Drosophila melanogaster: one gene and its partner. The gene in region 1 interacts genetically with each later gene. Each region holds a gene or a part of one and is shown in the gene's direction. Other genes may lie near its edges.

Region 1 (10,307 bases):
AAATTTAGTTTCAATCTCAGTGTTTTTTTGCTTTCGAAAACTCGTCTGATGGCTGGTCGACCTTCTGTACCGGTTAAAGTGCTCGTTGTAAGACATTACGAATACGCCGGGTGTGTTATCTAACCCACAAGGTTTACGAATCGGGTCTGTTCTGATTCAATCAATTCTCAGAGCAGTGCTTATTTAGGCACATCCACCATAATTTTTTCACATGTGCGACATCGCACATCGCCGACCAGAGGGGCGGTCCAAAGTTCGGATTACAGTAATCACAGGCTTAATGTGCACAATTTCCTTATTGTTTTTAAGCGGACCATGATTGGCTTAGTTAGACAGAACACTCGGCATAACCTTTGCATCCAACACGCCATTCTCTGCAATATCATTTCACACATAGGTCTCTTTTTGTGTACTTAGAGCTCCAACTTTGCCCCCGGGATCAGGCTCAGAATGGCTGCAACTGACCCATGGATTTGATATTCTCATTTATTTTTCATTCATTAACCTACAAAGGCAATTTTACAACTTTCGCCCATGTACGCGTCGTTTAAACGTTTTGAACTTCGCACAGTGGTTTGCAAAAGAATAAAATTGTGAGCTCTGTTCGAGTTTCACTTGAAAAAATACAGCTGTTTATGGTGTCTAGATTTTCATTGTGCTTGAACTTTAACTAGATTTAACTAGACATTAACTAGAAAGAAAAATAAGGTTTATTTATTATTTATCAGCTTGAAAGGACTTTTGAAGAATGTCCATAAGGAAAGTGTACTGAAATGAAGCAAATTTACACACTCTAAACCACTTTCCTGACCCACAGTGCTGATTGTTTTGCAAAGCTTTTTCTTTCGCATATACTTTGTTTAAATACCGAAATGTGTTGTTGTTTTCGCAGCCTTCATCTTGTTTTCATTTTATCTTTCTTCGCAAACAAAACACGTATTCACAACGCTTACGGTTTCGACTCTTCTGCTCGGCGTTTTAACCATGTGTCAAGGGTTTCGAGGGAAGATCTGTAATTTGGGGCCAGTTCAATGCACTCCGCCGGAGCAAACTGAAACGGAGTTTCGACTTCGTATACCCTTTTCTTTTGTATCGCTCGCATGTTATGTGATGTGCGAGTTTTGAGCGGTTGCATAAGAGGCGAACTTTGGCGCCTTGGAGTGGAATGCTCTTCGTTGCTTATCAGGGCGGGCAGATTCTAAGGGAACCAATTGGTATCGGCTTTCAGAGCGGATAAACCTTGGTGCGTCGGACTTTGGCCCTTGCCTTCAACACTTTTTTTTATAAACGAATAGCAAAAACAGCGCTTTGTAAGTTGTGTAAATGAATGCCAAAGAATTTGTTTAGTTTCTATTGATGTCCCCGACCTATGCCAATGTTTCTCCGCCTAGCTAATGGGCGAAATGAAAGAGAGAGTGATTTTGAGGGGGTTGAGAATCCGATTACGCAATCGCTCTCTTGGCAGCCTAATTTTACATTTTCCCTATAGGTATACACCCCATTCTCTGTTGATAATATCTTTAATCGCTTTTTATGTTCTTATTATCAGCGTTTCGATATTCTGGCAAGTATCCAGAAATACCGAAAGCGTAACAACAACTTGTTTGGACTTCAGGTTCTGATTTGATTATAATATTTACGAAGGCCGCACAGTTGGCTAATTGGAAAAAAATATATTTACGCGCGGTTTGATTATGATAATCTATTTTAAGAATGCAATTGGGAAATTACTATCTGTACTAAGATAATATAGCCTAAGCTAGATAGCAGCCTATAGAATTATGTTATTTTCTGTGTGCTCAAAGGTGCTTTGTTATTATGTCATCACACGCTCTGGTATCGGTTAAATGCAGCAATGCTGATTTCCATGACTTCCTCGTCTGCTGTCGCTCCCCATTTGTCGTCCTACCTCATTAGCACTACATAAATGCATATATTTGTTCTTTTATCGGTTGCAGGTGAAACTACAAACTGAACATCTGGAGAGGAACAACTGACATCATCCTATTGTATTATTGTTGCGTCCATTGTTCGTTTGTTCTTGCCATTAATCAGAGCTGGGCTCTTTTGGAGGATACGCCTCACACCCACCATTTTCACTACCGATCAAAAAACACTCATTTAATTCATAGATCGGACAAGTAGAGAAAAGGCAGCAAGATGTTCATCGAAGACGATGCGCAGTAAGTAAACACATTTATTATATAAGACCTGTTTAGTTTTGAGCCCGTTTTCTGTGTATTTTTATTTCATAAGTACATCACTCAGTGTAAGCTTGTGGTTGTGGATTTTTTGGAGTTGGGAAATATAATTAATGTATTGCATTCCATTAAGAACGCTGAGTCTCAAATGTAGGGGTATTTTTTTTTAATGAGTTGACACTTAGCACATGGACTTTTCACCTCTTAACTTTAAACATTCTATTTGCGGTTTATTAAATTTCTTTTGACATAGCGCGCAACCTTTTAAGCTCATTGGCCCGGGAAATTGACGTCATGCCATTTTGCGCAAGCCAAGTTCAAGGCATTCGTTCGATTTGCTTATCAGGCCAGCACTCACACACGATGTCTTTATCAAGTGTGCAGTTTTCAACTAGGAATTATAAAAAGTGACACATATGTATGTATGTATGCCACGACCGGCATATAATATTCAATTATATAATTATATATAGATATTTGTTAAGTGCGAATCTCAGCATGACTCGTTTCCTATTAAACTAGCTTCTATCTTAGTATGGTCTTGGTATGCTACTAGTAACTGGTTTTCCATTTAGTCTGCCATCGAGCGATAATCAGTAATCAGCGTCCGAAATTCTTAGTAAAATGCTTTACAGTGTTTTAATTAATTAGGCATTGCGATAATAAGTTTATCTAGTGTTCTGGTGGCAGTCGTTCAGATTTATAATTATAAATCAAAATTTAAAAATATTTGGCATGAGGTTTTTGTCCAATTTTAATTATAAATAACGTGACAAGAACGTTTAAAATGACGGCGGTCCTAATGGAATTGCAAAGAAAGTAAGAGTTCCCGACAAATCTTTTCGTTATTTTCGGTTGTCGATAAGTACACAAATAAACTAAAGATAAGAGTTTTAAGAATAGAGCCGAATTTAGCCGTTGGAAAAATTAGGAAGTATTTCCCCAAAATTGGGTCATCATTTTATAAAGTATTTGGGCCATAAAGATTGCTTCAAAATCAATGATATATTGCAAATACCCTTGATTTTTGACACGTTTTATGAAGTACTTGGCAAGCCAACTAGATTGGTTTTAGATGGCAGATAAGATGCCGGACGTATAAAAGGGTCCAGACGAGTGCCAGACACACACACTTAAGTTTCGGTTTATTACAATGGCAGAATTCTGTGCCGCGAAAGAGTGATGATTACTAGCGGTCCGGGCTTCGGCGCGTTAGTTAGTGCTAAGCAATCTGTAGCTGATAAAAAGCCGAACACCTTCAGAGCTCTTCACCGGTTATCGGCCGTTTGAAAAGCGTTTTCTGAGCACCGAGAACCAAAGTGAGCGTGAGAGTGTCTACCCCTTTTCCGCCGTCGGACTTTTAAGACCTGCTAACTAACAGTGGCAGCAGCAGCAGGTGGTGATATCAGTTGGTTTTCGGCTTGCGACGGCGCTACAACGAGTGGGTGGGTGCAATGGGAGAATGGTTGCAGGAGTCAACCGGGCGAATACTTGACGAGGCGGGGAAAGCAATAGTTGAAATACCCCGCTGAAATTTGCATACCAATTGGCCACTAATTTGACATTTCTATTGCCCTTTCAGAATGGACAGCTTCTGGGTGCAGAGCGCTATTGGCGCGATCAAGGCGATCGCCTTTGTCTACGACATCATCACCCTTCCGGTTTACTTGGTGCTGCAGAAGCCCTGGAAACGCCGTCAGGACTCGCGTCGCGTGAAGGTGAGTGCTTTGACAGGACTTGCCACTAATCTGGCTAGTTGAAACGAATGGAAAAAGCCACAGACTTAGCCGGCCAATCGGTGCGACGAGGGGTGTAACTATCTCTAGAATCGTGTAGTTGAAATACTTTCGACTTTGCACTGCACGTTCCAAAGTACAGAGGCCTGCTACAATCGAGTTGTTTTAGTTTTTATTAAAAAAGTGCACCCTCGGTTATCAGTTTCATTAAGTTCTTTTCCGCATTTATTTCCCTTACTTCGAGCCTTGTTCTCGCCAGGTGGTTTCCTTATGTTCATTTCATTGTCTAATCTATGTAGATATGACTACTTTTGATTTATTGACCAGGTCCACCATTTCCACAATCTATTCGCCTTTATCAGGGCTTCGCTTTTTATGCGGTAATTATCATATCCGATTAACTTTCTTTCATTTTGCTTTATAACTCCGCGAATGTCAGGACTTCCAGCCATGGCTGTATTTGACAAGTGCACAGGTTGTCAGGCCATAATGAAATCGCAGTTGGTCCTGATAACAGAACCATGAAGTTAAGAAATCATAGAATATCTCTACCTTCTTTTCAAATGGAAATAATATTCACACATAGTGAGCTGTGCAAGTGAGACACCCTAGCTCTCAGCCCAGAAATAAAAAACATATTTCGAAGTGAGTGTTAGCTTATCACATTTCCTGCAAAATAAATTAGTCTTGTTAACTGAAAGCCTAAGGAATGGCGTTTAATAGCCGGGTTTTGGTGCCTGTCCTCAAGGCCGATGATGACGAAAAGGAGTTAGTTGATCCGCAAGCAGCCCTTAGGGAGAAGTGCCAGGCCAAAGGTCACATTGCGTCCCTGTACAACAAGTATCAAGAGTGCAATGATCGTGTGAATGGCAAGTCCAAAACCACTGAGACATGCATGGAGGAATTGTTCGACTTCGTCGCTGAATTGGATCATTGCGTTGCTCACAGTCTCTTCTCGAAACTCAAATAGTTTCAAATTCTAGCAATGCTAAAAAAATAAAATTGGCACTTAAATAAAGGAAACAAACTAAAACATAAATATTTCCAGCTATAACTCGTTTAGGAAAAGTCCCACCTGAGGTACACTTTTATCTGACTTTTCACTATCTAAATGGAACGCATTTTGGTTGGCCTTTTCAGTCGGCTGATAAGGTTTATGGGTTAGTAAGGGTACGCCAACGCCGGAATCTAAGATCGCTTTCATTTGTGTGCAGTTTGCATAATCTTTAGAAAAAATAAGTAAAACGAGTTGAATGCCTTAATCGGGAATCAGTAACTCTATGCAATACCACAGCTAACTAGCTTCTCATCGCATATCTCAACTCCTCCTTCCTCTACAGGCCAAGCCCATTAACCAGAAAATGTTGGTCGATGAGTCCAAGTACGCGCCGGATGACATTGAGGTTTAACTTTTGCAAATGTGTTTTTTTATTATTTAGTAATACTATCTGTTATGGAACATACACACATTACACGAACACACACACACACACACACACACATACATTGGGGCACCCCCATACAACACACAAACACCACACACGCACAATGAATGTTCCAGGTACTGGTTGGTGATCGTACCCAGAGTTGAATCCCCTTTTTGGAGACTCTTTTTGGTGTTGGTCCAAGAAACATGATCTCCCGAGTTACGGCCCTCACCTCAACAAACCCTCGAAAACTCACATGTCCGTTATCTCTCTGTCGATTCTACTTTGTGGTCCCTCCCCTAATCTAGCGTTTCTTTTTAAATCGCAACCTCTAACACGACGTTAAACTAATCGCCACGAATTCGCTCATTTTCCAGGCAAAGATCGTGCGGAATGATGACAATGAGCTGACCTACCGGACCACGGATCCACCACGGGATGTCCACGTGAAGATGCTGCAAGAGAATATCGATACCCTGGAGAAGGTATTCAACTATGTGGCCAAAACTTACACGTCGAAGCGTTGTCTGGGCACCCGGCAGATCCTCAGCGAGGAGGATGAGGTGCAGCAGAACGGTCGAGTCTTCAAGAAGTACAACCTCGGTGACTACAAGTGGAAGACGTTCACCGAGGCGGAGCGCACGGCGGCTAATTTCGGGCGCGGTCTGCGAGAACTTGGCCAGAAACCACGCGAGAACATTGTCATCTTTGCCGAAACGCGAGCCGAATGGATGATAGCTGCCCACGGATGCTTTAAGCAGGCTATGCCCATTGTCACTGTCTATGCTACGCTGGGCGATGATGGAGTTGCTCATTGTGAGTAAATTGGCTTACCATGTGTATGGTTTTTAAATAATATTTTGCTCTGTTGCCAGGCATCACCGAAACGGAAGTCACCACGGTTATCACCTCCCATGATCTGCTGCCCAAGTTTAAGACGCTGCTCGACAAATGCCCATTGGTGAAGACTATTATCTATATTGAGGATCAGCTGCAAAAGACAGAAACCACTGGCTTCAAGGAGGGCGTCAAGATCTTGCCGTTTAACCAAGTTGTCAAGACAGGACAGGACAGTAAATTTGGTACGTTTTGAAAGGGTCTTAAAAGATGATTTATTTATGTCAATTACACGATAAATTTGCTAAAATGCATCGTGTTTCACACCGAAAATGGTGTGGGCTCGACGTGTTCACCATCGGCGTTATCCTCAGGCGCCCGAGCCGTTGCCATCGATGTGGATGCAACCGGCTTCTGCGCATCATTATCATCCACAACATTGCTCATCCTTTCGAGGTTATCAATGTCATCTCTTTCGGTTGATCTGTTTTCACTATCAGAGCCTTGTGCTAATTCTGCTTCCGGCAAGTGGTTGCAATAGCGCCATCTAATCGAGACAGAATGTGTTGATGGGTCATCCAGTGTTTTAATCTACAACTCTCACCTCATGTCAGTACTGGAAAAACCGACGGGTTGCAACAGAATCGGCTTCGTTTGTTCTACATATTCGTTCACAAGACTGGAACCAGGTCCTATGATCAAATCTTCCTCCTTAGCCTCAAGGGTAACTCCTTCGGTTATCTTTTCCTCGTCTCTTTCTTGCTTAGAGGAATATGTGCGATACGCCCGAAAGATGAGAACGCCGCAGTATACGCCAAATAGTGTAAAAAATACGGAGCAGCTTCTCGGCTTTCCTGATGTTGAGCCTAGTAAAGCATTGCATTGTTGCACACAAGTCAAGGGCGTTAGGGTGATGAATTCCTCTAGGACTTCAGCCATTTCGAATGGTGTCTGAACTAAAAAATCACCCTACACAATTTGGAAAGAGTTCTTTCTGTTTACCGAAAGTATGCGCTTTTAATTCAGCACTGAAATGTTGACAGCATATGTATAGCGTGCTATGCGCAAGGAATTTGTTAAATATTAAACTAGTACTAATTGACTTTATTTTGTATCCCACAGAGCACGTTCCACCCAAGGGAGATGACATTGCCATTATCATGTACACTTCCGGATCCACTGGCACACCTAAGGGTGTCCTCCTCTCGCACAAGAACTGCATTGCGACAATGAAGGGATTTGTTGATATGGTGCCTATCTATCCGGATGATGTACTGATCGGATTCCTGCCCCTGGCTCACGTTTTTGAATTGGTTGCGGAAAGTGTGTGTCTCATGACTGGCGTTCCAATTGGCTACTCGACCCCCTTGACTCTGATCGACACTAGCAGCAAGATCAAACGCGGGTGCAAGGGCGATGCCACCGTCCTGAAGCCCACCTGCATGACTTCGGTGCCGCTGATATTGGATCGCATTTCCAAGGGTATTAACGACAAGGTTAACTCTGGCTCGGCGTTCAAGAAATCACTCTTCAAATTCCTTTACCAGTACAAAGTCAAGTGGGTGCAGAGGGGGTACAAGACGCCGCTGATTGATAAGTAAGAACGGTGTGCTCATAAATATCATGAGTTGCTAACTAAAACTATTATTTTTCTTGCAGACTGGTGTTCAAGAAGGTGGCAAAGCTAATGGGTGGCAAAGTGCGCATTATCATGTCTGGCGGAGCGCCTCTGTCAGCAGATACACATGAGCAGATCAAGACCTGCTTGTGCTTGGAGCTGATTCAGGGCTATGGCCTTACGGAAACTACGTCTGGAGCCACTGTCATGGACTGTAAGTGATCGCAGATCGACCTTTCTTTTGAAAACAAGTAAATAACTTTATACCCAATACAAGACCGTGATATGACCTATGGACGCACTGGAGGACCATTAACTGTCTGCGACATCCGTCTAGTCAACTGGGAAGAAGGCAACTACCGCGTCACAAATAAACCTTATCCCCAGGGTGAGGTTCTCATTGGTGGCGAGTGTGTCTCCCAGGGATACTACAAGTTGCCCGGCAAGACCAACGAGGATTTCTTTGAGGAGGATGGACAGAGATGGTTTAAAACCGGCGACATTGGCGAAATACAAGCTGATGGCGTACTTAAGATTATTGGTAAGTTATTTAGCACAGTGCTTTTTCTTTCATTTTTTTTATTATAATACGCTTTTTGCAGATCGTAAGAAGGATCTGGTTAAGCTGCAGGCCGGCGAGTATGTTTCCCTTGGCAAAGTTGAATCTGAGCTTAAGACTTGCGGAATCATCGAGAACATTTGCGTATACGGAGATCCGACAAAGCAGTACACAGTGGCGCTGGTCGTTCCCAACCAAAACCATTTGGAGGAGCTGGCACAGAAACATGGCCTGGGTGATAAGTCCTTTGAGGAGCTGTGCTCATCACCGATCATAGAGAAGGCTATTCTCAAGGAAATTGCTGAGCATGCGCGGAAATGTAAGCTACGATGCAGATTTGAGTATTTTTCAAAGTTTTTAATGGCAAATTGTTTAATCTTAAAGGTAAATTGCAAAAATATGAGGTTCCCGCCGCCATCACACTTTGTAAGGAGGTCTGGTCTCCGGACATGGGGCTGGTAACCGCCGCCTTCAAGCTGAAGCGCAAGGATATCCAGGACAGATATCAGCATGATATTAACCGCATGTACGCCTCATGAAAGTCAATGTACTAAGCCAGAGGTACCAGATGCAGCAACGACAACAACACGCAAACATTAAAGCAGCAGCAATGAAGCTAGTGTGTACTAATTGTTTTTAGTAGCACCCCACACAGCATAAGCATGCATACGAAATCCAAAACCAAACTAGCTTAAGTCCTAAAAGATCTAAATGCCGAGCAGTACATGCAGGAACCGATTAGCCACATTGCGCATGTAAAGACAGACAGAATGTTCTCATTTGCCTTTTTCGTTTCGTTTTATCTTATTTGCTAGAAATCGAAAATTACTCGTTTCTCATTTTAATAAAGTTCGCAAAGACTTGCTTGGCAGATATGTAGCTGAAGCTGAGTTTGGTTTGGAAATGCGCTGTGTATGTGCTAGGAATGCTGTTCAACCGATTGACAATGATAATGGTAATGATAACTGAATGCCGATGATGAGAAGGAATATTGTATACTGTACAGTTTTCGGTTTATAGTACATTGTGTGGCAAATTTATATTGCAGAAAAATACTTATTTTTATATTAAGCTTAAGTGGTTGCCTATTAATTATGTACATACGATATACACATTCATATAAAAGCATATATGTGTAAAATAAATCTAATATTTAGTGTACTTCTCTATGCTAAGTTAAATGTATGGAATTCTTGAAGTAATGAAATGTAGACAGCAGCAATGAAAGCGACTTGATTATGAATTAAAAGCCACAATTGAAAGTAAAGAACCTAAGAATTTCCCTTGCAAATGCTTCTTTTTGGCGCAGAGTAAAATACATCTAAACACAAATGGAACCATCCAAAAATTACTTTTAATTACACAAAGGCATAAAGGTTACAAAGGCAATTGTAATATATATTTTAGCTCAATTTAGTTAAAAAAAGGACATCAAATGAATTTTATGAAATATATTATGTAAAACACGTAAAGAGAAAAGTCAAAATTAATATGCAACAAATGAAAGACTTAGTACCAAAATATAATAAAAACACTGAAATCACTAGAAGGCCAACAAAACGCCTATATCTCAAAACTAAAATGTAATAACATTTGTTTTAGATGTGCAAGAACTTTTTGAATAAATTGTAGTCATATTTTTAGTTAAACTATGTATATTTAGGAAACGTTTAGCAATTTTTTGTGGAAACGTTACGTTTCTTTTCAATAAAATTCAAATGATACAAAGATGCAATTTCGACTTCTTTAAAAATCACGAGGGACGGCGTGTGGAACTCGTATCTCCGATTTTGTCGCCCTGATCAAATAGATCATTGTTATAATAACGAAACGAGTTACGAGTAATAAAGATATAAGACAATTATTACACATAAGTATCAATGCATTATAATATTTTTGATCGTATGAAATACTGGATAAATGAATAAA
Region 2 (5,842 bases), on another chromosome or scaffold:
CGAAACAGTGGATCAAGTAAATAGCATCTTTGGAAATCATCCATTGATCCAATCCAAATTAGCTGCGTCAGCGCTTTCATTTTAAAATAAGACCCGGCAATATCACAAGTAAAAGTGACAATTTCCGCTTCTTGATCCCGTCCAGGAGATATAACCAAAAAAACACCCATAAAAAGCCAAATTGATGTGATGACAGATGATACGGATCTGTGCTCGAATTTGGCAGATTTCACGCTTATGATATCGCCAGTAACCCACCGGCGATCCAGTCTATCACGTTTTACACTTGCCTCTGGCGTACGTGAGAGGAATCCGAATAACTTACTCCTATTTCGATTTCTCCGGTTCGGAGGTCACGGATTTTTAGTTCGGTAGCTGTTGTTTTGAATTCTAATTAGTGGTAATGTGCGGAGAGCACATGAAATATATAATTATTTTCTTTGTCAACAGTCAACGAGATTTGTACACTCCCCTTCAAGACATAAAGGACATTTTCACATTAGTAAGAATACAGCAAATAAATAATTTAACAATATTCATTTGCTGTATGTGACATATACTGAACATGTAAAAGCATAGACTAGACCTCATATAAAAACAATTAACATTATTTTTATCATGTATGTTTTTGTCAACTTCATTTTGTCGGCTACTTTTCTAATTAGAATCCCCTTGAGAAACCTTTGGACAATAGAGGTCGCTGTACAGCAACTTATTGGAAGATTGAAACTATATAGAGACCGCCACTTTATGGTACACTAGCTGATTGGAAACCTGGGAAACCATGAACCTGACAACCCTGGCCAGTTGTTCACTATTTTATATTTACTGCGTCCCCCAAAAACGAAACTGGGATCAACACTATTCTGATCTCATGCGGATTAATTAATCACTGAACATTATAGGGCATGGTGTCCGAGGCTTATGAAATTGAAACCAAAACCTTTTTTACTTTCCTATTTTTTGGTGGGTGTGTTTGGAGCATATTAAAAGAGTATTTGAAAAGGGTTTGCTTCGAACCAAGAGAAATACAAAGGTGATGACGCAAAGATTTTTATTCTAGATATTATAAATGCATTAGAAAACGAATTCGGTAGCAACTTTTAAAAACCAATTATTAGGTAAATGGTGTTTTTTTTTTTTTTTTTTTTTTGCTTTATTATGATTTTCAGCGTTCATTCTTGTGGGATCAATTTCCTCTAATTTTCTGATCTCCTTTAGGGCAGCTGCTTATGGCTTTTTTTAAGATTTTATGCATTTATGGGAGCAATCTCGTAACTCGACTTATCCGTCTTCGGTAACGGTATTGCCTTCCCATTGCAACAAAGTTGCAAGTTGCGAATCCAGAAATTTGTTTCAGATTCAGCTCCTTACAGATTTATGAATGCTTAATTTAATTGCAGGGGGATTGTTGGTAAACGGAATAACTTTACTTTCTTGGACTGGGCATAATAAGTCACAACCCTACAGCAAGCAGCAAATAAATAAAGACATAACATTTTTTAAAGCTTTTTGAAATACTAATTTGCTAGTCAAATAACATTTAAAGACCTTTTTTAATGCTTTTCGACATACTAATTTGATAATTTAGAACTAAACCTGATTATGAGTGATGTCTTGATATTAAAGCAACACAAATGCTTCATGCTTTAAAATCAAAACTGCCATTCGATTTTTAGAAGTATTCCACGAAATAATTATCTTTAAAAGAAAATATTTATTCAATAATGCAACACTATCAAAATATTTTCCCAAAAAAATATTTTAAATTGCATCGTAGCCTTAATACGATTTAATGAGTTATGCAAATTAATTGAATTCAGTTTTTGTTTGTTCATACAAGACATATATTAACCAGTCAGAAATATTACATTTTTTGTCGAGTGCACAGCCCAAATTTAGATCGCTTTCTTGTATCACAAGCGTTTGATGAAAGGGTAAGAGTGTTTCGACTGCAACTTTGATCCCAACTGCTGTCAATATTCAATGCCTTTGTGATGGTTTCGTTTTTATTTGTCTGGCCGTCCCCTTACTTATTATAGTACGCTTGGTATTCATGATACAGCACACACTTGTGGGATTTTGTCTGCGCCGCTCTGCGATGTTATGTATCATTGTTTTGAAGCTTATGCTAATGCACCGGACTGATCGGAAGCACGTGTCAAATGCAGATGGGTCAGAAAAAATATTAATGAAGGTTCATAACATTACAGGATATAAAAGTGGATACGCAGTTTTAAAGACAGTGAAAGTCCCACGACATGGTCTTTTAAGTTTGTTTCTTTTGCCTTCGCATCATTTTCTTTCATTTGATGGATCACATTTTATATCAAATTCCCTTCCAAGATCTCACTCTCCTTTATTTTTCGCTTTCAATGCAAACGACATTCGACAAAAGTGGAAGTGCATTCAAAATCTTTTTTTTTAGCCATGACAAGGATCTTGCAGATCTGAGATTTAAAATTTTCCCAAAAGGAAAAAATGCATTATGTAGACGGACACAAAGGACAAAGAGTGTGTGGGAGAGGGAAAAGGATGGGTAGGTAGGCACACAGAGACTGAGTAGGAATAGAGGCACCCACCACAGAAAAAGAACCCCTAGAAAGAGAGGAAAAATGTACGATCACTTGTGCAAAGGACTTAGGTCCCGGTTTTTCGAGGGCAGGTAGCCAGGATCCGACCCCGTACCAACCCCTGTAGCTCCTCTGCCGAAGTCGCTGCCTCTGTCGCGGCGCGTTTCCCTCTGCCACTGCCGGGTATTTAAAGCCCTAGATCAGAACAGCAATTATCATTGCGGAATCTGATTCCACACAGTCAACATCTGTAAACTAAATCTTAGAAAACTCTCGCAAGGATTACCATGACGAGCATTTGCAGCAGCAAATTCCAGCAGCAGCATTACCAGCTGACCAACAGTAACATTTTCTTGCTGCAACATCAGCATCACCATCAAACGCAGCAGCACCAGTTGATTGCTCCGAAAATACCTTTGGGTACCAGCCAACTGCAGAATATGCAGCAGAGTCAACAGTCCAATGTTGGACCCATGTTGTCCTCCCAGAAGAAGAAGTTCAACTACAATAACATGCCCTATGGCGAGCAATTGCCATCGGTAGCCAGACGAAATGCCCGTGAACGCAATCGCGTGAAGCAGGTGAACAATGGATTCGTCAATCTCCGCCAGCATTTGCCTCAAACTGTGGTAAACTCGCTGTCCAATGGAGGACGTGGTAGCAGCAAGAAGTTATCCAAGGTGGACACACTGCGAATCGCCGTTGAATATATTCGAGGACTACAGGACATGCTTGATGATGGCACTGCTTCATCAACTCGTCACATCTACAATTCCGCCGATGAAAGTAGCAACGATGGCAGCAGCTATAACGATTACAACGATAGTTTGGACAGTTCGCAACAGTTCTTGACGGGAGCCACCCAGTCTGCCCAATCCCACTCGTACCACTCCGCCTCGCCCACGCCGTCGTACTCCGGATCCGAGATTTCCGGAGGTGGCTATATCAAACAGGAACTACAAGAGCAGGACCTCAAATTCGACTCCTTTGATAGCTTCAGTGACGAGCAGCCAGATGACGAGGAGCTACTCGATTATATTTCATCTTGGCAAGAGCAGTGAAGGGGTCTTACTAAAAGTCCCAAACAAACAAATATTGTACAAACTGTAAATACCCTAAATTGTTGCCTTAGTGAGTGTAAAACCAAGTCTCAAATTTCACATTAGCCTCTAAGTTACCCCATATTTTTTTTTATTATATTTTAACGCAATGGAAGACATATTTTTTTCATAGTTATAAGTTTGTTATAAGCATGGAAGACACTAAACTAACTACTTTTAAGCCAAAATAAAAACATATTGATAAATTTAATTCCAAATGTTTTTTACTGAAATCACTTACTCGTAAATATATTCAGATCGTCATGTAGGGTAATTACAACGAGTTCTCGTTCTCATACCAGCATCAGAGCCAAAAAGGTTTTTAAACAATCTGCATTTTGAAGCATTGCTTTGACTATATATATGTTATGATATTCGTTTTTAATTTATGTATTTTTATATTATTATTATTATTTTTTAGCTTAGCTGTTTTGGCCTCAGGCTTAATAATGGTACTAGCGATAGAAATAATAATTTCACAAAAAAGTTACCCAATTTATTATTTATATTCAATTACTTTTGGAGCGTGGACATGACTCACTCAAAATTCGTAACCAACATAGAGTTAAGCACCTGACAGGAAACAACAGCGAATATTTTCATGATTGGTTCCCTAACGAGCTACAATTCGGCCGGGAATTGTTAATGGCGCGTAAATAGCCCGGAAATAGGCAGTCACGCCTGAGAGGATGAAATTGTCCTAGTCCAAGGATCAGTACTTGAAGACTCGCACAATCCACGTGGCTGGCGCACACCGCCACAAAGTTTTTCATCAAGCTGGACGACGTCGGCGAGCCGTGAAATGCACTTCCGCTAACCCCGTAGCTAAAAATTGGAAAGTAAACCCACCCCAAGGGTGAAATATTAGGGCCATTAAATGAATATGCAGGAATGTCATCTAGGCAGGAGATGCCACACCCATTATTTAGCATACAATATGCAAATTGCCAATTGCGCTGGACACGTGCGTAGGGAAACGGCATTCAACTTGGACTGAGTTTACCAAAGGAGGATGTGATAAGAACAGAACTCTAAATAAAACAGGAAGCGGTGCAATACCGCCAAAAACTCAAAGATGTTCCTCAAAAAAAAAAAAAAAAAAAACGGAAGAGAAAAACGAAGGTAGTGGACGAGGACAATGGCAAATGTAATTGGATGTCAGCTTAAGATAAATCCAGAAAACAAGACCAAGACGAAGTAGAGTGAAACTCTCTTGTGGTCCATTGTTGCCGGATATAAAAAGAAGCTTAAAGCGGAAACAGGATTGTGAATTCAGGACCTGCCAGGATAAGGATCCGATATAGGTGTCCAAATACAAGGCTAAGCTACAAGTGTCCTTTAACAGGCTATACTCCGATTTTCATGCAATGTTAGGTCACTGCACAAAAAGATATCTTTTTCGCTTACTGATCCTCGAATTTCCCTCTGGGTTCAATCTCATATGACAGGGATCACTGAACTTCTGCAATAAATTTGTTTCCTAAGCCTCTCAGACCCAGGAAGTAACTTATTTTAGTCCTTGCTGCAGGAAGTGTGTATTTGCTTAGCATTTTCGGCCGGACAGAAAAGTCTATGGGCTTGGTAGTTTATTTATTTTTGTAGATGCGCACTTGGAAATACGAGCCAATTGTTGTTAGGTTGCAATTCAAGGAAATTCTAAACCCGCAGGCACGAAGGCCACGAAGGACACGTAGAACACTTGTAGCTCTACTTGTTCTTGTGCTTCGACTTGTACATTTTCATGTTTTTGTATAATTGGAGTCTGAGTTATGTGTCTTTATGATGGCGCGGCAATACTCTCCAAGATTTATGACCGTTGTGTCAAAATACGATGCCAGGAGTTGTATTTTTATTTACTTAGAAGTGTTCTACTCTTACCAGATTAAGTCCAACCGTAAGACTTCGCACTCAACTAGGCGTCAAGTGGTAGTAGTTCCAACTATAAATTTTGTTGGTTGTGTTGGTTAAACTGACAAGGCAGCAAGTCAATTTAGGATAGCAAGCCATTACATTATACACCTATACCAAAAAAGTACACATAAGTTCTCAAAAGTAGACTTTCAACTTCTTGATACTGAGGAACAACGCTTGATTCCAGGTCAACGGATTGGCGTGTTAACCAGCGATTCGAAAACAGCGTGATTGATGTCTACCGTTCTTCACCCTTAG

Evidence for each region. A genetic interaction does not mean that the proteins touch.
Region 2: of Acsl (region 1) and l(1)sc, changing one enhances a phenotype caused by changing the other (phenotypic enhancement), as found in Drosophila melanogaster (one study listed by BioGRID).

The regions. Positions count from the first base shown.
Region 1 is NT_033778.4:8,672,689-8,682,995, forward strand, and holds Acsl (Acyl-CoA synthetase long-chain), read left to right. Parts: upstream 1-2,881; 5' UTR 2,882-3,020; intron 3,021-3,388; exon of another isoform or gene 3,389-3,646; intron 3,647-3,783; coding exon of another isoform or gene 3,784-3,784; coding exon 3,785-3,919; intron 3,920-4,530; exon of another isoform or gene 4,531-4,646; coding exon of another isoform or gene 4,647-4,907; exon of another isoform or gene 4,908-4,973; intron 4,974-5,277; coding exon 5,278-5,340; intron 5,341-5,741; coding exon 5,742-6,180; intron 6,181-6,239; coding exon 6,240-6,446; intron 6,447-6,457; exon of another isoform or gene 6,458-6,522; coding exon of another isoform or gene 6,523-6,748; intron 6,749-6,805; coding exon of another isoform or gene 6,806-7,140; exon of another isoform or gene 7,141-7,265; intron 7,266-7,323; coding exon 7,324-7,798; intron 7,799-7,860; coding exon 7,861-8,033; intron 8,034-8,096; coding exon 8,097-8,360; intron 8,361-8,421; coding exon 8,422-8,697; intron 8,698-8,762; coding exon 8,763-8,917; 3' UTR 8,918-9,651; downstream 9,652-10,307. Other genes in the region: UQCR-11L (Ubiquinol-cytochrome c reductase 11 kDa subunit-like), read left to right, coding at 4,647-4,907; CG30355 (uncharacterized protein), read right to left, coding at 6,523-6,748, 6,806-7,140.
Region 2 is NC_004354.4:406,936-412,777, forward strand, and holds l(1)sc (lethal of scute), read left to right. Parts: upstream 1-2,785; 5' UTR 2,786-2,860; coding exon 2,861-3,634; 3' UTR 3,635-3,882; downstream 3,883-5,842. UniProt on the Drosophila melanogaster protein: AS-C proteins are involved in the determination of the neuronal precursors in the peripheral nervous system and the central nervous system.